4 linked regions of the Arabidopsis thaliana genome follow. The protein of the gene in region 3 interacts with the protein of the main gene of each other region in a pairwise test. Each region holds a gene or a part of one and is shown on either strand. Other genes may lie near its edges.

Region 1 (5,297 bases), on a different chromosome or scaffold from region 3:
ACATTAAAGATACCCCTTTACCTTATAGGGCGGGTCATCAAGCGAGTGTATTCATCAACGGTTTTCTCTACTAAGCTGCTTTCTTAACCAAAACTAAAGAGACAGTTTTGGTTTGTTTTCATTTTAGAACTGAGAAACTGAGTTTTATCAATGCACTTAAGGGTTTTGTGCAATGGGGAAGTGAAGCAGTATTCATTGAATACAAAGGGAAGCTTGCTTCCATTGTGAGCGACCATTATGATCGGTTTCCATAGTTTCGATTTATGGATACTAGAAGACGTCGAGAAACATGAATGGTCAAAGCAAACATGTGTGTTTCCCTCCTCTTTTTGGGATGATGTTGAGTGTGCTAAAATGTCATTTCCAGACACCAACAAGGCTGGTGAGATCATTATTGCCCCAAAGAGGTTGTCACTCAATTTTCGACCCTTCTACATTTTCTACTACAATGTTGAAACAAAAAACATAAGAAGAGTTAAAGCTCCTAGGATTTGGAGACAGTGAAGAGTTTAGGCGCTCTTATGGATTCGAAAGAACCTCCGGCTCCCGTGAATCTCTTGTTCTGATCGCACATAACCACACGTCCAGAGTGTTGGCTTTTTTAAGGATCCTAGAATTAATTTAACTTGATTCGTAGGATCCTAATGTAAGAGATAACTGAAAACTTGCCTTTTATTTTAGTTTCATTATTTTATCATGTTGATTTTTCAAATTTTCAACACTAAACAAGCTACAGTTTGTATTGTTAATCTTTTGGGTTTGCTGAGACGTGTGTTCATTATTTATGTTCATGTTTTTACTTCTTTAGTGTGTTCATTTGCTCGCTATATAGGTAGGTGTGGGAAGTAAATAAATTATGGATTGAGAAAGAGATATACAGAGTATTGATGTTTTTGCGAATAATATATCCAAAGTAAGATTTTCTATGAAACAAAATATATTTGATTTTAGCAGATCTATTTAGTTATGTATTTTAAGAACAAAAAACAAAGTAAAAACAAATTTATGACCAAACTTCTTCAAATATAATTGAAATATCCGGCTCTACGGCGCAGAAATACATTACCCAATACATAAAAATATAACTGACTTAAAGGTAAAACCTTCAACTCTTACAACAATTAACTGAAAAGAAAAGACATTATTAGAGATTGGTCTTTTGAAATGGACAAAACACAAATGCAAACTACTGAAACACATCACACAACGGTGGTGTTGGTGGTGGTGGTGGTGGTGGCGTTGTTGGAAGGCATGTGACCGGTGGTAGTAAGACCAACGGTTGGTGGTTGGTGGTAGTTGTAGTAGTTTCCGTTCATGAAAGGGATGTGTGCATGCTCTGCAGCATAACCCACTTGTTCATAAGGATATTCCATCAACATCTCCATGAATGGATCATCTTGAAACGGATACTGATGATTTGGATCCAAACTGAGATTATCATAGATTCCATGTTGGATCTGATGATTAAAATCCACAGGAGCTTGGTATTGAATATTATCACTAAAAGCAGTAGGGATATAGGGCTGAATCGGCTCATACTGATTCTGAGCCATAGGAGGACCGGCACCCGCAACAGCAAGAGGAGCCGCACCCACACCCGCAACAGCAAGAGGACTCGCACCCGCCCCCGCAACAGCAAGAGGAGCCGCACCCGCACCCGCAACAACAAGAGGAGCAGCACCCGCACCCGCACCCGCACCCGCAACTGAAGTATGAAGCGGAGGAGGAAAGGAAGAAGAAGACGCACCATTGTTTGTAAGGAGCATGACACTTGAATTAAGCTGATTGATATAGTGATCAATATAAAGACTTAAATCTTGAAGGTCCCTTGCACCATACTGATGCTCACTCATCTTACCTTCAACACAATCAAACATAAATTGCCTAAGCTGAGATTCTCGGTTTTCACGACGTAGACTCTCCAGTTTCTTTGTTTCTTTGGTAATTTTGTCCTGCAAGTAGGTCTCATGACTCATCATCAGCTTGGATTGTTCTGTCGCCGGCCTCTCCATAAACATGGAAACCGCCTCTTGAACACCTTCGGTTGACGGCCACACCACTGGATTCTCGTACGGACTGGAGATTACCGCACATGCTTTGACGCCGCAGAGAGTTGTTAGCTCATGGAGTTTGTTCGTTATCCCTCCCTTCCTCTTCCTGAATGTGGTTCTCCTTGAGGTCTTATTAGCTATGAGTGATAACTTAATTTTCGACCTCATTATCTTTGTTTTTCTTTTCTTTGGTGTGTGTTTTGTTTACTTTCTTGGCCCAAGACTGTCTTGTTTATATAGAAATGAAAATTGTGCTTTTACACAGTACGTGGCTTTTCACGTTGCTGGACTCATTAGATTTGTTTTGTGTTTACTGTCTCATTAATTGACGAGGCCACTAATTAAAGCTATGTCTAAGAATAGATTTTCTTTTCTTTTTACTAAGAATAGTTTATCTTCCTATATTACTCTCACTTTTCTTTTAAGAGTAATTTAAAGTTTTGTTTATAAACTATGAAATTTAGTAATAGTTTGAAGTGTTTTTTTTTCTTCTTTTTAAATAGAGTACTCCATCTTCAATTTACATGTAAAATCATGAATATATACAAGCTCAAAAGAGTTGTTTATTTATAGAAAAAAAATGAAAACAATATAACGTGAGTCTTACGAAATATTTAGAAAGCACGAAAGTTTTTGAAAACAATGTAACATGAATCTCACGAAATATGTGTTCTATTTCTAAGAAAATCTTTAAACTACCTATATACATTAAAGGAGAACATACCAAGAAGTTTGTAAACCAATATAATAAGATAATAAAATATCATTAAAATTTATATTAATTAATTTAGTAAAAATATTTGATACTTACAATAATAACAAATGAAAATATATAATAGTAGAGTATTAGAGAAAAATATATTTTTTTAAATCTCAGATTTGGTTATATGAACTTTTTTAATAAATATATTAAAAGAACATTTGTCATGGCCTGCAGGTCCACCTGATTTTTTTTAATCATTAAGTTGATTCTAATTAAAAGGAAATTTGGATAAAATAACTGTTTTATACATTAATAGATGGATTTCTTTCCTCTTTTGGCTCAGTAATAAATTAGTTTAGAGATAATTTGTTAAATCATGCATATATTATACCTTTTGGAGAATACTTTTTCTTTTATTGGGTTAGAATATTTCATTGCATTGCCAGCTAATTATAAGCTGTAAATAGGGAAATTAAAGATTTTAGACTACGTATAGAAAACTTCCAGTTGTTTTTACATACCCAAAGAAATATCTAAACTTTAAAGTATTAATATTTAAATATAGTTTAATTATATATTAATTTTTGGTTTAAAAGCAAAAAATGAACCAATTAAAAAAAGACAAGTGTAATATACCCAAAGTTCAAGTTAATATACCAAAAGTTCTTATTTAAGAACCTTTCTCTTATTTCTCTCATACTTTTTTTGTGTGGTATGATTATAATGAGAGAGAATCCAAAAAAAATGGAGGTCTAACAATAACCAAAAAATAAGAAAAACAAGAATGCACATCGTTAATTAGACTTTGTTTGACTGGTTCTCTTCTTATCAATTACATTTACAAAATGTAGAAATTTCTCTAAAATAAATAGCATATTTATTGATTTTTGATTAAATGTTTTCAAATAGTTATAAAAATACTATAGAGTAGAAGATATTACATGAGAGAATGGTAAATAATTCAATCCAGTAGTAGTTTAATTTCCATTCTCTTTAAATGCTAAATTTTATTTCAAGCTCACCGTATATTTTTGGCTCAGATAATAAATAACTTTCATCTGCCATAAAACACTAATTTTCATGTTTATTTATATGTTTAGTTAGGGGCGACTTAAGCTACTTATAGTTATAGGTCATGTTCAAAAGTTTAACTATAGATATCTTAAATAAGGTCCATATATATACATAAGAACTTTTTTTGGTAATCACGATCCGTTTAATCTATGTATTTAATTTACACATACTAAAACAATTCAAGGTATAGTCGATCTTATCTGAACGTTGTAGTAAGCATAACTGGTCACCAAAAATATGTTCTTAGTTGAAGTACACACTTGAATCCAACCCAAAAAACCTCGTCAGTGTTGGGATGATACACGAAGTGAAGCCTATAGTTGAAATAGAACGCTAGGAAGCCATTTTTCTAAAAAAAAATCTTAATGAATACTTAGTAGGTGATAGGTACAGATAGAGATACATTAAGGCTTGTGTTAATTTCAAATTACCTTAGGCCCATAATATATGCATATCCTAAAATATACCTTATTTTCTTAATATCTCAGCTTTTTATTTAAAATTTTCAGAAGAGCCAAATCAATTTAACCATATTCAATCTTAATACAGTCTTTAAAACGGTTTTTAAAGGAGAAGCTTCAGGTGGCACGCATCGAACTAGGAAGACCCTCTAAATCAAGGAGAAGTATCAGAAGGCACTTTACTTAAACACCACAGTCTACTGCTTCTACTTGGAGTTGTATTCACTGAATTACCTGCCTTAGCAACTGCAAACAAAAAATAGAAAACCAGTCTCTGTCCCATCGGAGAGGCCTTACACGGGACCAAAGCAAAGGCCTTTGGGGTGCTCTTTAGGGTCACATGAGCTAAGGATGCTACTCGGTGGTGCAAGGGAGTTATAACTCTTTCAAGATTTCTCCCATTCTTGAAAGAATCCAGAAAGCAAGATTCGCAAGTGTTCGGGAATATGCTTCAAGAAGCCCATGCATGACCAATGTCCTGAAAACAAAGAAGAAGGATTTAATATCGACAAATAATTGTATTGTAAAGTATGACATGTTTCAGAACATAAACTAAGAAAGATGTAATTAGTTCTGTTTATGTTTACATTGCCATATTGGATCTTTGTGGCATTAAGAAACGAGTGAGGAAGATTAGAGTGTTTGGATTTGATCTGATTTCTAAGCGCTTCTTTTCGGTTCAAGAGTGATTCACTGCGACCAATTTCAACAATGGTTCTCCTCGTATATATACTCAATGGTACTTCTCCTCCTATATATACAACTTCCGTCCTGAACTCTCTTCAAAATATTTAATCATATAAGTATTTAACCATAATGAAGGCTTGAAAAGTATTGATGTTTTTTGGAAACAAAATCCTATCTGATTTTGGCAGATCTATTTAGTTATGCATTTTAAGAACAAAAAGCTCGTAAAAAATAATTTGTGACCAAACAGAAATGACTTCATTGAAATAGAACTGACTTAAAGGTAAAACCTTCAACTCTTACAACAACTAATTGAAAAGG
Region 2 (5,475 bases), on a different chromosome or scaffold from region 3:
AAACTCTCCCATTCCTTCAAACAAACTCATGGAGATAGTTGCACGGCTCTTGCTACAGCTAGAAGAAAACGTCATGTATAATCCAAGAACAGTCACGTTTAGCCAGTAAGAAACACCGATCGCAATAGCTGCACCGAGGCTTCCAAGACCAAACTTAAAGACCAAGCTCCAACAGAGGACAATGTGGATACAGAGAGAAGAGACTGAACTCATAACCAAAGGCAAAATCAGAGACTGTGCTTGGAAAAACCGAACAAGCGGCTGCAAAGTAGCGTAACCAAAGAGCGCGGGTATGAGCCAAGTTGCAAACTTCCCAGCTTCTTGAGCAACCATAGCATCTTGTCCAATAAGAGAAAGTATATCACCAATGTATGTCCAGAGAAGAGAGAGAGGAATACACACAAGAAACAAAGAGACAATTCCTGTGTAAGTATGAACACCAAGCTTCTCATATTGCTTAGCTCCATTAGCTTGACCACATAAAGTTTCCAACGCACTAGCCAATCCAAACTGTGTGATTACCACAACCACAATTTAGAATCTTAAGCTAATAAAAATGAAAAAGAGAAAGATCAAGAAAGAGACATACAACGACGCTGAAACCGGTGACGCTGCAGAAAGAAACAGCAATGGCGGTGCTAGAGAGGAAAAGCTCACCGAGATGACCAACCATCATTATAGATATCACCTGAAGAACATACATAGACGAGTTCACTGCAATCATCGGACCGGCGATGTAACTAAGTTTCTTCGTTTCCCGCAAAAACCCATCTTTCTTGTTTACTTCTTCTCTGTCGCTCACAACAAGCAAGCCCTTCTCCGCCGAATCCATTCTCTCTTCTTCTTCCCCTGAGATTTGTTGTTTCAATCTAATACTTTAACCTCTTTCTCCGAATCAACCCTATACTTTATATACTAATATTATATGATATCTTCTGTGGAATTTATAGCGGCGTGTCGTATATTGATTCTACACCTCGAGATACAGATACATGCGTCGTCCTCTCTTATTCAGCCGCCATAAATTCTCTCTCGATCTAAATAATGGCACTTGATTATAGCAAATTAAGAAAAGTCTTTGTTAAAAAAAAAAAACTTTACATGCAAATCACCAAAGTACTATACAATAATGCGTTGAAATATTATAATCTTAACTTGTTTAATTAGTCAAGCGGTCTGTTAAAAATTTAATTAATTACAATGTTGATTCATTGATTCATTTTGAATATAAGTATGTTACTTCCTCATAAAGGTATCAAAACGAATCAAAAACAAAATTTTCTCTGTTTTGTTTTTTTATTCATTTTGATATCAAAAATCTTCCTCTTTAAGGTATCAAAAGATTTGTTCAAAAAAGAAAAATCTTCTTGTTTATCATGTGAAGTTTGTGAACCAATCAAAATTTATCTTCAGATCCTTTTTTTTTTCAATTTCATAATCGTAAGTCAAAAGAAAATATCTGTTTGCTTTTTTTCTAACGCACTTGTGTTTCCTCAAACTTATTATTTTTAAACTCATGTGCACGTACATGTAAACATTCATTTCCTCTCTTTTTCTTTTTTTTCTTGTCAAAACATTCATTTCCTCTTTAGTCACTACTATTATCGAAAACATTCATTTCCTCTTTAGTCATTACTATTATAGTATTATAGAAGATCATATATATCATGTGTATGATGAAGTCTCTTGGTTTAGCTGATCTCTTCATGTTCTTTATTACTTTCTTTATCTCCAAACCCCTCACCCATGGCCATCAGTCTTCAACAAGTCAAAGTAAATTGATAAATTCAGTATTTTTCATTAGACACCCCAAAGTATAAAAATGTATCGTTGATACGGTGATACAAGAACCAAAAGATGGAAAGATATATAAAGAATTTTCAACTTTTCATCAACCATCAAAATATAACTCTGATCCAAGTCATTAACGTTCAATTTGGTTAGAGTTCTGTTCTATTATGTGTTGATCCATAAATGGTAAAAAGATTGAATAGTATACAAATAAAAAGAGCCTATTTCAACCCAAACTTTTCTTTCCTAAACGTTTTAAAAATTCAAAAAAATTTGTACCTTAAAATTTGTGTGTAAATCAAAATATAGTTCATTTCTCGAGTTTCATATATATACATAGACGAAAGACATCAAGATCATACACAACATCAGAAGATGAATTTACAAAATACGAGAGAGACCTTCTTGCTAATGCTAACAACTAAATTACCAACCCCACTTCACGCGCCTCTAGCAACCTCAGAAGCTCCAATCACCGTCTTATCCTCTTGATTCTCCGCCGGCAAACCAAAATTGGTCGGCGCGTGAGGTCCAATCAGCTTAATTGAAGCGTTATCATAAGCTAGAGCAGCTTCCTCAGCAGTGTTAAAAGTACCCAGCCAGAGACGATCACGTCGTCCTTTACAAGCTCCTCTTCCACATCTGATCTCCGCCACCCACTTCCCCCACGGCCTCTGCCTCACTCCACGATATTTCTTCTCCGTTTTCGCCGTCTTGAGAAATTCCGCCGGGATCCTGATTTTGAACCGTGTTTTGCAGACATCGAGTTTATCGGCGGAATCGGAAGGATCGATTACGATCTCTTTAACGAGGCGTTTCCCACGGCGCCGAGTCTGGGATGCTCCTCCACGCTCCTCCGTGTCTTCGTCGCTAGAAGAATCGGTGGCTTCTGCGTCGGTGAATGAGATTCTGATAATACGCTTCATAGTGAATTTGCGGAAATTAGGGTTCCGTCTTCGTCTCCATTAAAAGGAAAGCATTTGAGAGAAAGAATATGTTTTTATTCTTTCAGAATCTCTTTTTCTGATGCTTTTCATCTTTACTTATTTACTTCTCTATTTTTTTCTAACCAATCCTATGTGGGCCGTATGGGCCTCAGAGCTGAAAATGCAGTAAAATCCATGAAATTTCTCAACATGGCTTGAAGCCCATCTTCTAAAGGAAAAAACGCTTTACTCTTTTTTCCTTCATCTATGTAATAAGAAGCAGAAATTTAGGAATAAGTTTGAAACTTTAATCACACATAAGAGTAAGTGCAAAAACATGAACAATGTTCTTGCCTTCCGTGTCAATTTTGTATATATATATATATATATATATATATATATATATGTGTGTCAGTATATAATCTCCTTTTATATGATTATAAACTCATTTGTCCCATGTCTTCTTCTTCTTCAATGGACTTACTCATGTGTCTGCTTCTTCTAATCTCTCCGGTTGTTCTGGCCAAGTCTTCTTCCACCGTCCCTGCTATCTTTACCTTCGGTGACTCTATTTTTGACGCCGGAAACAACCATTACAACAAAAACTGTACCGCTCAGGCTGATTTTCCTCCTTATGGTTCTTCCTTTTTCCACCGTCCTACTGGGAGGTTCACCAACGGAAGAACCGTCGCTGACTTCATCTGTAACAAATTACCTCCCAACTCGTTAACTAAAACATTTCTTCTTCTGCAAGGAACCTTACTTTTGTCTCTTTTTTCTTTTCTTGACGCAATAATTGCAGCGGAATTTGTAGGCCTTCCATTACAGAAACCATTCTTGGAATTGCAGATTCAAATCTTGAATGGAACTTCAAACTTTTCAAATGGCATTAACTTTGCTAGTGCTGGTAGTGGTCTCTTGCTTGATACCAACAAATTTATGGTAAATATCTACCTTGACCAAATAAAATGTTTGTTTCTTGTGAATCACTCATTAAGTACACATATCAAATGTAGGGCGTGACACCGATCCAAACCCAGCTACAGCAATTCCAGACACTTGTAGAGCAAAACCTTATCGAAAAATCTATAATCCAAGAGTCTCTCTTCTTATTAGAAACTGGTTCTAACGACATCTTCAACTACTTCCTCCCATTCCGAGCTCCTACACTTTCTCCAGACGCTTATGTGAACGCAATGTTAGACCAAGTGAACAAAACGATTGATCAGATCTACAAACTAGGCGCACGCCGCATCGCTTTCTTCTCCTTAGGTCCTGTAGGTTGTGTCCCTGCAAGAGCCATGCTTCCTAATGCCCCAACCAATAAATGCTTTGGTAAGATGAATGTTATGGCCAAGATGTATAATAAAAGACTTGAAGATATAGTGAACATAATCCCCACTAAGTACCCTGGAGCCATTGCGGTGTTTGGAGCTGTATATGGTATCACTCACAGATTTCAAACCTACCCTGCCCGTTACGGTAAACTCAATATAGTTAATTAACTTCCATCTTTGAGATCTTTTTCAAATGTGTCTATGAGAAAGCTGAATCATGTTTTTGGTGAAGGGTTTTCGGATGTTTCAAACGCGTGTTGTGGGAACGGTACACTGGGAGGATTGATGCAGTGTGGAAGAGAAGGATACAAGATTTGCAATAACCCAAATGAGTTTCTGTTTTGGGATTTTTATCATCCCACAGAACACACTTACCGTCTCATGTCAAAAGCTTTATGGAATGGAAACAAAAACCATATCAGACCATTTAATCTCATGGCTCTTGCCACCAACAAGATCACATTTTAATACTTATATCTCCCTTGTATATAGAATTCATAATGAGTTTGTATCTGAATTAAGACTCGAAATCATTGTGAAAACAAAAGCCAGAAAGTGAAACTTCGCTCCACTTCTGGTCTCTTCTTCCTCTTCTACTGTAACATGAACGCTACAAAATGTTTTTATTGTTCTCTTTCATATCATTATGAAATACAATATCTGATTCTATCTAACTATACCTCTATACTATACGCATTCTACAGAAAGCTTAGGTTCGTCATCTGAGTGATGAGTATCCAAGCCGTTACCAAAGCTATCATCTTTTCTTTGAGGGTGTGGATCCGCAAACACTTCCTCCCTTTGGGGGCGGTTCGCATAGAATATCCATAGCACCAGACATAGTAAGACTCCTACGGAGATCAGTCCGAGTCCTGCGTTCACAATCCTCAGATTACGTACTAACGGTGGACAGTAATCTGAGGTAATACTCATAAATGTTTCCCTAACAAAGTTGCAATCTCGGAAGCTAAGCAATGGAGGCGTGTAATGCTCTAGAGCGTAGCTCTCATTCACAGCTGCTACCAACTGTCCAAAGGTATCTGGCGTTACTCTCCCCACGGTGGTGCAGATTCCAGATGGTGTAACCTCGCATTTGTAATTCTCCCAGACCTGAAAAGAGAAGTTTAGTAAGACATGTCTCAGACCTGGTGGTGTTTTGTTCAAGATATACAAAGATAGGTGAGTAGGAAAGTACCGATGATGCATTTTCTATTGATAGTTCCCAAGGCGAGCACTGGCGATCTTCCATGTTTGCATCAAATGGGATGCATAAAGGAGGCATCGGAGGTCCAGACTGGTTGTAATAGCGGTCTTGACCTGGAGCTGGGTTTGTATTGGCAACAGCATAGACAAAGGTGTTTACAACGGTCACGATGCTGTTGATAACAACTTTACTCTGTGAAAGAGTCTGGTTTGTTGTT
Region 3 (6,410 bases):
TGACGAAGAAATCAATTTCCGTTTGGAACTGAATTTTAAGAACAACACCAAAATAAAAAAAAATAACAAGGACCACCGGAACAGAACTTAGGGTTTCTAAATTGTTGAGTAGGGTTTAGGACCGAAGAAATTATGATTTTTCTGCTTTGACCTTTTTGTCCTTCTTACTCAATGAATGAATCATTCATAACCGAGTACTAGACCGAAATGGTTTAATGCCACTATTCATATAAAATCGGGTTCAATAAAGTGAACTCTAATGGGCATAAGCATAAAAGGCCCAGTAAAAGAAGAAGCCCGGGAAGAATCATATGTGTCTCTCTCTTTTAGTTTTTTTTGTAGTTGTTAGTGGTGAGTCTGGTGACAAAATCCTTTGTTGAATGTTTTTGAAAACAATTTTGAAGCGATGTAACTTCAATTTATATAGCTGATGAAGCTGAATTACAAAATGTGATGATTTTGACATATAGAATATTATTAGTATATAGATAGAGAGAATAGAGAGATAACAAATAAAGTGAACTCTAATGGGCCAAAGCCCAAACGTTAAAGGAAAAGAAGAAGCCCGTGGAAAGTGTTTTGAAATGTTTGGATGAAACGCGGCTATTAGCTGTCGTCTCTTATCCAACCGAACCCAACGAGTTCGAAAACGAGTAGAATGTGAAAGCACGCGCCAAAAAGGGGGCGCGTGGGTGAAATCCGTATCCATCTTCAACGGGCTTAAGATCCATTTTAGTCAGTCTCAGTGATGGTAGTGAGAAGAAAAAGCGTCATTCTTACGTTTTTCTTTTAAGTTTCACTCAGAGACAGAAGCTAGAACAAAGAAAAGAGAAGCCTTTTGAAAGCAATCAACTTTAATCTTTTTCAACCAACACTAGTACTCTAGCTGTTGCTCTTTCTCTTCGTTTTCTTCCTTCCTTCTTCTCTTAGATCTCTTTCTTTTAACTTGAGTCTTATCCTTTGGATTTTTATTCGATTTGATTCCTCCGTTTGGTTTGGTCAGTTTTCTTTAGACTCTTAGTCTTTCCTCTGATCTGGGTTTTAGCTGTAGAAACTCGTGAGTTAGATCGATTGAGAACCCAACTATAAATTAGTAAAAAGAGAAACCCTTTATAGGTTTTTTGGGGTTTTTGTCTCAGTCTGACCAATGGGTTCACAGGTGAGTCTCTGTCTCTCTGTTTTGAAGAGATTGTAAGGAAACTAGGGCTTGTTTTCTTGTTTAGACTGTTCATGCAATTAGTTTTCGTGGAAGATAATTGATTGAACTTGCTTGTAGCTTAGTTCTTGGTTTCTATTGAGCTCTAAAGGATAGGTTTTTAAGAGATGAAATTGTTTAATGTCTCGTGACTCAAGTGTTGCTTATATATGTTTCCTTTGTTCAGATCTTTTTGGAAAGAATTTGTATTTGGATGTTGTTAAATAACTTGTTCAATGCACTGCTTCTAATGCATGAAAAAAATGGAATCTTGCTTTCGTGTTTATGATTGCGCTTGTGTTGATTCTTCAATGAATAGTTCCTCCTCTATGGAGTGTCTGCCAGTTTGAATGATCCTCTACTTTTGTGCATATCGAAAAAAATGACATTGCTTTTCACACTTTTTAGTCTGCATTCTTCAACAAATTTCTATAGTGTTTGAGTTTAGTTCGCCTTCATTGTGTTGTTGTGAGGTATGAGTTACTACTGGTAATTAAAAAGCAACCTTTTCAACTTGCAGGTTTCTTGTCTAGTTGCTTGAGGTTTTTGGTTTTTGGTTTGAATAGAGTTATGAGAAGAGGTAGAGGAAAAGGCAAGAGGCAGAATGCTACTGCTAGAGAAGATCGAGGGAGCGGCGAGGAAGAAAAGATTCCAGCTTTTAGGAAAAGAGGGAGGCCACAGAAGCCGGTGAAAGATGAAGAAGAAGAAGAAGAAGAGCTAGTGAAGAAGACAGATGAGGAAGAAGACAAGGATGATGATACAAATGGTTCAGTAACAAGTAAAGAAAATGTGACAGAGAATGGGAGGAAGAGGAAGAAACCAGTGGAGTCTAAAGAGAGCAACATAACTGAAGAAGAGAATGGGGTAGGGTCAAAATCAAGCACAGAAGATTCTATGAAATCATCGTCGTCTATTGGGTTTAGGCAGAATGGGAGCAGAAGGAAGAACAAACCAAGACGAGCTGCTGAAGCTGTTGTTGAATGTAATGGGGTTTGAAAAGAGGTTCTTAACGCTTTTGAAACCGCCTTTTTGGTATTTTTTTTGTTGTTTTTGTTAGATACTTTTGCTGTTATAAACCCGAGTTTGATGCGGGTGCGTTCTGGTTTCATTACATGGAATCAAAACTTCGATTTTTCGGATATTGCTCTTCCCTCCTAGTTTCCATGGCGTTCTGAAACTCACTCTTTCTTTTGAACAAAGTGGAGCCTAAAAATGCTCTTTGACGGCTATGCAAAAATGAAACAGTCATAAGTTGTGAAAAGCGAAAAAGAAAAGGTTCATTGTAGGAAGAAATATCAAGAAGATTTGTGATAGTCAAGCCAGATTAGTGGGGGGGGGGGGCTTTAGGCCTTTTTTCAGGTTGTATTTTTGTAGAATTTTGGAAATCAAAACAAAGGAACTTAAAGCAAAAAGTAAAAGGAATAATATCAAACTGATACACACAACCCTAAGAAAATTCAAGTACACAATTTCTGATGGATACATGACCGTGAAAATCGAACTTCCCATACTCTCTTTTTGCATAAATATTTGTTCAATTATCAAGAAAGATTTTGCATAGGATATGGTGAGAAGAAGAAGAACAAATCTCATTGCTTAAAAGAAAAAGAATCACTAAAGTATTTTTAGAAAGAAAAAAAAATAGAACTAAACTCAAAAAGTGTTCAATAACCTTCTAGTTCCTTTGAAGAGTCACATCCTTAGTTGAGTTCCAACACTCTGGTCTATCTGCCCATAATCCTCAATTCTTTCTACTTTAGAATTTTAAAAATGAGCAATAAAGTTGTTGTTTCTCTTTAATTAGAAATAGTATTTAGAAGTAGTTAAATAGCCATCCATTTATAGGTCTGTGATCTATTCATATTTTTACAAACTACAATAAAGATCAATAGTTTTGTGATTTTATCATCATTAGACTATTTTAGTAGTATAAAACTAGTATACAATAATTAGAATAAATTAGCTGTAGATTTTTACATGGGAGTTATGTTCCCTGATCTGGTCTGGTCTCGTTTAAGGATATCATTTTGTACGTTAAAGAAGAAAAATATCCTTATCCTCCCTTTTGTGTTTATTTGTTCAGATGTTACAAAAACCACCAAAACGCACCAACATCCCAAAACGCAAACGCTAAAAACACGTAGCTGTCGTGGACTAGTGTCAATCACTCTTGAGTGTCTCTTCTTTTGTCAGCTTCTCTTTCTTTCTTTCTCTCTCTTCTCTTCTCTCTGATTCTTTAAAAGATAGCAACATCTAAAATCTGCAAAACCACATTTTCTTTCCTCTATTCTCCTCCGTCCTTACTATTTCCAGAGTTCAGTACTTAGAAAGAAAGAGAGTGATGAGCAGAAGCATCTCTTTCTCTGTCTGAGTAAGAGGAAGCCAAAACCATAATGGAGTTGTTAATGTGTTCGGGTCAGGCCGAGTCAGGTGGTTCTTCTTCCACCGAGTCTTCTTCACTCAGTGGTGGACTCAGGTTTGGTCAGAAGATCTACTTCGAGGATGGATCCGGATCCAGAAGCAAGAACCGGGTCAATACCGTTCGTAAGTCGTCTACCACGGCGAGGTGCCAAGTGGAAGGTTGTAGAATGGATCTAAGCAATGTTAAAGCTTATTACTCGAGACACAAAGTTTGTTGCATTCACTCTAAATCATCTAAAGTCATTGTCTCTGGTCTTCATCAAAGGTTTTGTCAACAATGTAGCAGGTTTCCCCCTTTTTTCTTCTTCCTTTTATTTACTCATTTTGCCATTTCCGGTGATCGGAATAGTTCTAAGGGAACCATAGCTTTACGCTTTTTTCAGGTTTTATGTTCCTTTTGAGCTTTTTGAGTTTTGGCTCTTAACGTCATTGAAGAGTCTTATCAAAACTTAAACTTTACAGCTAGTTATTATGTGGTCTTGTCTCTTGTCTTATGCATTATTTAGGTTGCTTTTCTTTGAAGCTTTCTTTTCTTTATATCAAATCAGGTTTCACCAGCTTTCTGAGTTTGACTTGGAGAAAAGAAGTTGTCGCAGAAGACTCGCTTGTCATAACGAACGACGAAGAAAACCACAACCCACAACGGCTCTTTTCACTTCTCATTACTCTCGAATCGCTCCATCTCTTTACGGTTAGATCCCAATATACACAGCCCTTTTCAGCTCAATGAGTCTCAAAAACAAGTTATTGAATTTCCTGTGTGTCAGGAAACCCCAATGCTGCAATGATTAAAAGCGTTTTGGGAGATCCTACTGCGTGGTCAACCGCAAGATCAGTGATGCAGCGGCCTGGACCGTGGCAGATTAATCCAGTTAGGGAAACCCATCCACACATGAATGTTTTATCACATGGAAGCTCAAGCTTTACTACATGTCCAGAGATGATAAACAACAATAGCACAGATTCAAGCTGTGCTCTCTCTCTTCTGTCAAACTCATACCCAATTCATCAGCAGCAACTTCAGACACCAACAAATACATGGCGACCATCTTCTGGTTTCGACTCGATGATCTCATTCTCCGATAAGGTTACAATGGCTCAGCCACCGCCCATTTCAACCCATCAGCCGCCCATCTCAACACATCAGCAGTACCTCAGCCAAACTTGGGAAGTCATCGCGGGCGAAAAGAGCAATTCACATTATATGTCTCCTGTGAGTCAAATCTCGGAGCCAGCAGATTTCCAGATAAGCAATGGCACCACAATGGGTGGATTTGAGCTGTATCTTCATCAGCAGGTTCTGAAGCAATACATGGAACCCGAGAACACAAGAGCTTATGACTCCTCTCCTCAACATTTCAATTGGTCTCTTTGAGTCTAATCTCTTTCACCTTTTAAGATCTTCATCAGTTTGTTACTAAAATCTTATCAACTATCTCTTGTGTGCTACTTTAAAACCAGGCAATGATGCCCGATAATGCCTTTCCGTTTGGATGTTTTTTTCATGGCTTTTTATCTTTTTAAGAACTTTGGTTTTATTGATGATCTCTACGATAGTTTACGATTTGCATCCAACAGAAACTCAGGTTACATACTTGGAGATCAAATTGAAACATCAACATTATCATCAATATATTGTCTTATCAAATCAGAGTTCCACATGCTTTTATCATCCTACTATCTATTTAAAAGCATGAGAATTAGCAAGTCCTTAAGATTCTAAGTGTGTACCTCAACTGCAAACACAGTCTTCCTTCTGTATCTTGCTTCCTCTTCAGCCACATCAGGAAATTTTCAACCTGAAGCTTCTGCAGACATGGATTGTGTTTGTGTGCTTCCATACTAGTGTGGCTTATCTAGTGATCATCCTCATTTACGCCAGGACAGTTGGATAGAAGAGCTTCAGTCGTTTCATACTGATTCACATATCGTGAAATTTCATATTAGTGTATACTTACACAAACTCAACATTCAAGATTCAGAAAAAACATCGATAAAAGAAGATTTCAAAGCATTCAGTTACCTGGAACCCGCAGAAAAGGCAATACCAATGTTCAGCTCTCAGTTTCATTAATATTTCTTGCAAATCCTGCAACCAGTAAAACTAAACTTGTCAACCTAAAGAACAGTGTCTCAAACTCTAATCAATTGGTCCCATTACTCATAAAGATGAAAGACACCAAAAGTTCCAACTCTTGTTTCCTAGGAGAACATACCTCTTCAGTGATCTCCTCCTCTTCTTCCTCTTCTTCATCAGGCTTACCATCTTCATCTTCCTCATTTTTCTTCTCCGGAACAACTTCTACATTCTCAAGTTGATCAAGAGCAGCCTTAGCCTTCCTAAAGTTAATCAAAACTCTTTTCTTACGCCATTGAGACTTCTGTCTAGACCCAAAATCCTCCAACATCTCATCCACTTTTCTCTTCTCATTCTCAGCCTCAATCTCCTCCTTTTTCTTCTTCTCCTTATGTGGATCCTCTCTTCCCACACCGGCTCTCGATCTTCGAATATCCATAGTCACTGGCTCAGCTCTACCAGAGCCTTGTTTACCAAGAGCAGAACCTGGCTTGTAACCCATTTGCTTCAATAGCTTAAACCCTATGTTAGACTCTCCTATTGGAGTGTCTACTATACGAGCCAATGTCTGCTCATCTTCTTCTATCTGTTTCCTCTCTTTCTCCAATCTTCGTCTCTCGTGCCAATTGAGATTTTTTAACTTCTTCCGTGATGGTTCTACGATTACAGTTTTCTTCTCAGATTCCTGCAAAAGCATTTATATACGAATTTAAATAT
Region 4 (6,624 bases), on a different chromosome or scaffold from region 3:
GATAACGATGGATATTGAAAAATTGACGGAAATGTATTCATTGTATTAGCAAAAGAAGAGGGTAAATTATGTGTCAAATAGTGATTTTAACTTCATAGTAACTTAAACTTTTTTTTGTCAATTTGTTGACATAATTTGCTTAATTCTTTTGAATTTGAAACATATGATGCAGCATTTTGGAGTTAGAATTTAAAACAGTGTAAATTTATGATTACTAAGAACCCCTTTTCTGATATTTTTATTCCATAATTAATGATTCTAGTAGTAGAGTAGTTGAAATTAAATTCTTGTACGGTCAAGTTTCTAGCACATTAGAAGAAGATCACCTAATTTTCAAAGAAATTTAATCGTAATCTTTATGATGCAAGAAAGACTTTATTTAAAGAATATTTCCTTTATTTTCTGGTTCCTTTATTAAATTAAAAGTATATATCATTATTCCTCACCGGCATAGCTTCGTTATAAAGGAAAGGAACAGAGTTTGCTTTTAAACAAAGAGAGAAAGAAAAAAAAGCTCAAAGAACTCAGAAGAAGAAGAAAGATGTATCATCAAGAACAACATCCTGTCGGTGCTCCTCCTCCCCAAGGTATTATCTCTTTTTCTTTAGTTTTGGATAGTTGGTTTATCTTCTTCGATCTGCTTGTTTAATTTGCTCTTGAATTTCGGTTTAAAGGGTATCCACCTAAGGACGGTTATCCTCCGGCCGGTTATCCTCCAGCCGGTTATCCACCGCCAGGATATGCTCAGGGATACCCTGCACAAGGTTATCCTCCGCCGCAGTACTCTCAAGCTCCGCAGCAGAAGCAAAACGCCGGTATGCTTGAAGGATGGTACGTTCTTGATCCCATCTTTTCTACTTTATATTAACTTTATTTTGGTTTCTTGTTTTGCTTTGTATTTAGGTTTTAGTGGAATAATACTGTATTAGTTAATATATGTCTTTGCTCTGTTCATAAATACGTCACAGTTTGGCTGCGCTCTGTTGTTGCTGTCTCTTGGATGCATGTTTCTGATCGGAGGATAATTATATACGTTGCCTCAGTCAACTTTTATTTCCTCATATATGTTATGTAATGTTCAACAATCTTTCTTCTGTTGTTATCTTCTTTCAATTCGAATTTTGGTATCTTATGTTTTATTGACTCCGACCATAATTATCTCTCTCTTTCATAATCCAATCACACGAATTCGAAATAAACCAGTAAAGAAGTGATCAGAAATCTTGATGAAATATCAAAGGAGTGTGTTTCATCATCATCATCATATTATTGTAATAAGTAAACATAGCCATGGATAATGGTTCTTTTCAACCAAAAAGCTCACAGATGCTAAAATAACAAAGAAACATGAGAATTAATATCAAATGAGGTTTCTTCTTTTGCTCGAGAAGAATTGGAAGAAGGTGTAACATCAGTTTTCTGGTTGAGGATTGCCTTTCCACTTGAAGTTGTCCGAGTAAGACTTGACCTGCAGTTAGATGTTAGATGATGAACAATCATGGGGTTAGGTTAAAACTTCAATCTAAAGAATGTTCTACCAAATAAATCAAAGGAATGAAAGAGACTATCGCTCGTCAAACTAGTAGCTAAATCTTAAACTAGAGGCACCAAACCATTTCTGATGAAGCAATATGAGTTAAGTTAAAGAATATCCTATCTATTTAACACAACATTCAAGGGTCGTTCCAGTGAATCTCCAGCTTTAGGGTTAAACACCTCATATGAGTAGAGCTCGTAAGTCATAATGCGGCATTAGCAAAAAGATAGTTACTAACCTTCAATAATGGTGTGTTGGGCTTCTTGACCTGCAATGATTTAGATGTAAGTTTTTCAGTACTCTGAATTCTATATTAAGGGATCTTAAAACAGAACCATCACAATGGTGATCGAAAAAAAAAAAAAACAGAACCATCACATTCTCATAAAATGTGAGTGAATGCGACCAGAAAAAAAAATGAGCTAAAAACGAAGAAGGAAACAACGTACCTTATAATCCCAACCATGACGCTCAGCAAAAGACTTAGCAGCTTCTTCAGAATCAAAAGCAAGAGCAGAGTCACCAACATTAGCATAGGGGTCACCTGTAGAAGTCCATCCCATCAACGGATTCTCCCACCTAGAAACATATGAATGCCATAGATAAGTGATGTCAATCGAAATCTAATCAACAAGTGATGGACTAGTACTAGTCACAAGCAGAAGACTTAAGTTTTGAAAAGATAGGAATTTTAAGGATAAGAATCATATTAGGACATAAAATGTGAGGAAAAGAGGATTATCTTAATCAAAAAGTAGCATACTTTAAGGTGGAGACGAAGTTAATCTTCCATTTTCCGAGTTTTCCAGATCCTGACTGGGTAGCTGTTCTAGCAGGTGAGTATATTATCACCTGTTAATTTCCAAATTCAATACTCTTAGCACTATTCGATTGACCAAAATCAAATCAAGAACACGATGTAGCTCAATTAAGACGATTCTCTGATCACGAACCCTAATTTTCTAAACTGAATTCGTAAGAAATCGAATGCTTATTTACCTTGCGAGAAAGATGCTCCTCTGGGATTCCGGAGACCTTACCGATCTCACCACGCTTGTAATCCGACTCAACCACCGCGTCAGTAGCGAAAGGTCGAGCAACACGCCGGAGCGTCGCCGCTATACGGATAGTCCTTTGAGTAGTAGCACAAAGCGCCATCGTCAATTAGAGAAATCTGGAAAATTGCTGAGCTTTTTGATTTCGCTTTGGTTTCTTCTACTTCTGTAGATTTTAGAAAGAAAAAAAAAACACATATTTCAATCTAGCCATCAAAATTTTATAAATTACGCTTTCGGTCTTACTATTATATGAAAAATCTTTAATAGCCCCTAAACTATCTGTGAGATTTAACAACGATAAATTTTATAGATACATTATTTTTAAAAAATAGTACTAGTATATTTTATTCAGCTTGATCCTATTCATTTAGTTGGTAGGTTTTATTGTGTAATTTGATAAACTTGAGGCAAATTTGTGAATGTGGAGAAATATAGGGTTACATCTTCCTTAGCTTGAATACAAAAGAAAAGCTCAAGTTTGTTTCTCGTTTCTATGGATATTCTTCTTCCTTATGCTAGCCTCTCTGGTCTTCTTCTTCTTCGTTCGTTTCAGCGAATCACATTTGATCTATGACACATCTATACAAGGAATTAGCTTTCATCATCAAGTCTCTCTCTCGAAAACTCTCCTTTGGTTTCGTTTGATCTGGCATGCTTCTTCTCCTCCTTCCTCCTTTCTGCTTCCTTCTCTGAATTTTCCATTTTTGTTTTTAATTTTCTACGATCGCCCCATTTGAATTTGGTTGATAATTTAGCTATCGCTTTAGATTGATGGCTGTATTTCCAAATTCCTGTTGATTTGCGACGTTGTTAATGGGCTTTGATCCTCTTTTTTTGGTTCGAGATTGCTCGAATCACTCATTTTTTTGTTGAATTGAGCTTTGGGGCGTATCTAATTTCTTTGGATTTGTGTAGTTACATTTTTATGTTGTGGCTTTGTGTATCTGCTGGATTTAGATGACCAAAATTTTGTATTGGATAAGAAATGTTCAACAATGGCTTTGATGTGGTTAAGTTTCGTACGATTTAACAGATTCTAATGTTAGCGTTCACATCTATTGGCAGAGAAAAGAAGAAATTCAAATATTGATAACTGTGGATGGGTGCACCAAAGCAGAAGTGGACACCGGAAGAAGAAGCAGCTCTTAAAGCTGGAGTTCTTAAGCATGGGACTGGGAAGTGGCGTACCATACTCTCGGATACTGAGTTTAGTTTAATCCTTAAGTCTCGCTCTAATGTTGATCTTAAGGTAATACAATATAATATGCTTTTTGGAGGTTGTGATCGCGTGTTTCGGACTAATCTTGATAGTTCAAGGCATAACAGGACAAATGGAGAAATATAAGCGTGACAGCTTTATGGGGTTCAAGGAAGAAGGCTAAACTTGCGCTTAAGAGGACTCCACCAGGTACTAAACAGGATGATAACAACACAGCTCTTACCATTGTGGCTTTGACTAATGATGATGAACGTGCAAAACCAACTTCCCCCGGAGGTTCTGGTGGTGGATCACCACGCACTTGTGCTTCTAAGAGATCAATTACAAGGTTTGGTTCCCTGACTTATGCACCACATAACGATTTTCTTGAGTTCATAAAGATTTGATCTTGCGCTATTGTCTGTTTTTGTAGTTTGGATAAGATCATCTTTGAGGCAATTACCAACTTGAGGGAACTACGCGGTTCTGACAGAACATCAATCTTTCTGTATATAGAGGTATTTCTACCATTGGGATTACATGTTTGGTTGGGGTTTGTTGCATACTTACTTAGTAGCTGTTAAATTTCAGGAGAATTTCAAGACTCCACCGAATATGAAAAGGCATGTCGCAGTACGATTAAAGCATTTATCATCGAATGGAACATTAGTTAAGGTAAACACACAACTTTTGATTCAAGATTCATGATCACTAACACTTCATTACTCTCAGAATTTTCAAAAATACTTACTTGGTGATTTCTCACTTTCAGATAAAGCACAAGTACAGGTTTTCTTCTAATTTTATTCCCGCAGGTGCAAGACAGAAGGCTCCTCAACTCTTTCTGGAAGGAAACAACAAGAAAGACCCAACAAAACCCGAGGAGAACGGTGCCAACAGTCTCACTAAATTCCGAGTAGACGGTGAATTATATATGATAAAAGGCATGACAGCTCAAGAAGCTGCAGAGGCTGCAGCAAGAGCAGTTGCAGAGGCAGAATTTGCTATCACAGAGGCTGAACAAGCAGCAAAAGAGGCAGAAAGAGCAGAAGCAGAAGCTGAAGCTGCTCAGATATTTGCAAAGGCAGCCATGAAAGCTTTGAAGTTCAGGATCCGTAATCATCCTTGGTGAAACAGAAAGAAATAGCCATCATGGGGAAGTTCTGTAACAAAGCAAGCCATAAAATATATATACTTAGTGGGTTTACTGGTTTCTTAAGAGTGCCGATCTTGAATCAGGCGATATCTCATCACCTGCAGAGTTTTTTAAGTTTCCAAACCTATCTGCTCTCTTTTTTTGGTTAGTAACAGTGTAAATCCGCAGTTTGATCATATGTATGTTCTTTCTCCGAATCTGAGATTCTGTATAACTGATCTTTTATTGTATGTGGATGATCTGTTTAGTAACCTTGAAACTATTTTGAAGTGAGATGAGTAAGCAAAAAAATTGAGATTTTGTTCTACTAAAGATTTTGAGGAAATTTACAAGCATTTTCATTCTTTCTTACTACTCTCTTCCCATTCTTTCAGAATGTCATAAACTGAAAGTGAATCAGAGTCGCTAGATTCTTCATCATCATCAATCTCGAGTTCTTCTAGACCCAACGTTTCGAGTTCAGTCTCTGTAAATTCCCAAGCTTCACCATTAGCACTATTATCATCTTCCATTGTTGTATCTTGCAGAAGCAAATCTTCCTCCGGTTTTTCGCCCTGACTTTGAGTTGTTACATCTACGGCTAACAATGGTTGTGCTGAAGAAGAAGAAGACCCACATCGAGATTTCAATGACTTTGAGAGGTTTGAGACCGTTGGTTCACTTACATAATCACACTCAATGAGATGATCCGAGAGCTTATGAAGATTATCTTGAGTAAGCCAGTCTTGATGCTCCTCAAAAAGATCAGTCCATTCTTCTTCACTAATCTGGAAAGATGCGAGAGCCACAGTGTTAATCAGTGTGATAGCTCTTTGGAAATCGCCTTTAGCTGTGGCATGACACAACAGTTCAGTGAAGAACAATGGGTGAGGGATTTCTCCATCTTCAAGTACTGCATCGAAGGCATGCTCTAGAAGACTCCACTGCATTAACAAACAAAATTAGACAACAGCTTATGCTTCCATAAACACTTAAACTAGACAAAGATTTGTTACCTTCCCGGCTCTTGATGCTTCTATCAGCATTGATGCATGTTTTGTTTGATCCATTTGGTAACCAGAAAGAACCATCGTTTGATACACATGTTCAAAGTATTCCCATTGCAGTGATCTAGCTGAAGCTTCAAGCATGAAGCTGTATGTATACTCGTTTGGAACTAAATGAGTCTCTTTTCTGCTGACAATCTCTTCAAACAATTCTTTAGCTTCTGAAAACATATCATTCCTTCCGTAAACTTTAAGCATCATGTTCGCAGTTCCTATATTCGGATCACATTTATCTTTCATATATTGGAATATAGCCATGCAATCATCAACATGACCACCGTTCAATGAAGCGGCTATGAGTCCTGTGAAGGTAATCTCGAGCGGCCTGCAATTTTCAAGTCTTTTCATCCTCCCCACCTGCATTAATGAATTATGAAGAAAGTTAATTTTGTGGGTTTCTCTGAGAAGCAAAAAGGGTAAAGTAGGAGGGAACTTGCTTCGAGCATTGCATCGCACCAACGCCCGTTGTTGCACAGACAGCATGCCAATTCATAGTAAACTGAACCCGTTCCTATAACTCCCTTTTGTTCCATATCTCTGACTGCTTCAACAGCTTCTTCGATCTTGCCTTCTCTCCAGAGAGCTCGGACAAGAACTGAGAATCAATCATACGCTATAAGAATCATATC

What was found.
Region 1: the proteins of SPL15 (region 3) and AGL86 interact in a two-hybrid assay, tested with the Arabidopsis thaliana proteins (one large-scale study listed by BioGRID).
Region 2: the proteins of SPL15 (region 3) and CRF8 interact in a two-hybrid assay, tested with the Arabidopsis thaliana proteins (one large-scale study listed by BioGRID).
Region 4: the proteins of SPL15 (region 3) and TRB2 interact in a two-hybrid assay, tested with the Arabidopsis thaliana proteins (one large-scale study listed by BioGRID).

What each region holds. Positions count from the first base shown.
Region 1 is NC_003070.9:11,317,329-11,322,625, forward strand, and holds AGL86 (AGAMOUS-like 86), read right to left. Parts: upstream 2,220-5,297; coding exon 1,200-2,219; downstream 1-1,199. Other genes in the region: AT1G31620 (uncharacterized protein), read left to right, coding at 128-224, 489-566. UniProt on the Arabidopsis thaliana protein: Probable transcription factor.
Region 2 is NC_003070.9:26,820,119-26,825,593, reverse strand, and holds CRF8 (Integrase-type DNA-binding superfamily protein), read right to left. Parts: upstream 3,078-5,475; 5' UTR 2,718-3,077; coding exon 2,232-2,717; 3' UTR 1,923-2,231; downstream 1-1,922. Other genes in the region: AT1G71140 (MATE efflux family protein), read right to left, coding at 1-510, 590-832; GLIP6 (GDSL-motif lipase/hydrolase 6), read left to right, coding at 3,174-3,420, 3,520-3,659, 3,734-4,199, 4,287-4,522; AT1G71110 (uncharacterized protein), read right to left, coding at 4,742-5,164, 5,250-5,475.
Region 3 is NC_003074.8:21,443,031-21,449,440, reverse strand, and holds SPL15 (squamosa promoter binding protein-like 15), read left to right. Parts: upstream 1-3,405; 5' UTR 3,406-3,588; coding exon 3,589-3,902; exon of another isoform or gene 3,903-4,164; coding exon 4,165-4,307; exon of another isoform or gene 4,308-4,383; coding exon 4,384-4,991; 3' UTR 4,992-5,198; downstream 5,199-6,410. Other genes in the region: AT3G57930 (rho GTPase-activating gacO-like protein), read left to right, coding at 1,766-2,191; AT3G57910 (D111/G-patch domain-containing protein), read right to left, coding at 5,473-5,532, 5,640-5,705, 5,833-6,378. UniProt on the Arabidopsis thaliana protein: Trans-acting factor that binds specifically to the consensus nucleotide sequence 5'-TNCGTACAA-3'.
Region 4 is NC_003076.8:26,954,144-26,960,767, reverse strand, and holds TRB2 (Homeodomain-like/winged-helix DNA-binding family protein), read left to right. Parts: upstream 1-2,993; 5' UTR 2,994-3,244; intron 3,245-3,660; 5' UTR 3,661-3,694; coding exon 3,695-3,844; intron 3,845-3,921; coding exon 3,922-4,142; intron 4,143-4,226; coding exon 4,227-4,311; intron 4,312-4,384; coding exon 4,385-4,468; intron 4,469-4,565; coding exon 4,566-4,925; 3' UTR 4,926-5,200; downstream 5,201-6,624. Other genes in the region: WIH1 (cysteine-rich TM module stress tolerance protein), read left to right, coding at 542-587, 675-831, 969-1,014; FRO1 (NADH-ubiquinone oxidoreductase-like protein), read right to left, coding at 1,412-1,468, 1,776-1,805, 1,987-2,116, 2,301-2,389, 2,537-2,695; DG1 (Tetratricopeptide repeat (TPR)-like superfamily protein), read right to left, coding at 5,288-5,872, 5,945-6,352, 6,433-6,590. UniProt on the Arabidopsis thaliana protein: Binds preferentially double-stranded telomeric repeats, but it can also bind to the single G-rich telomeric strand.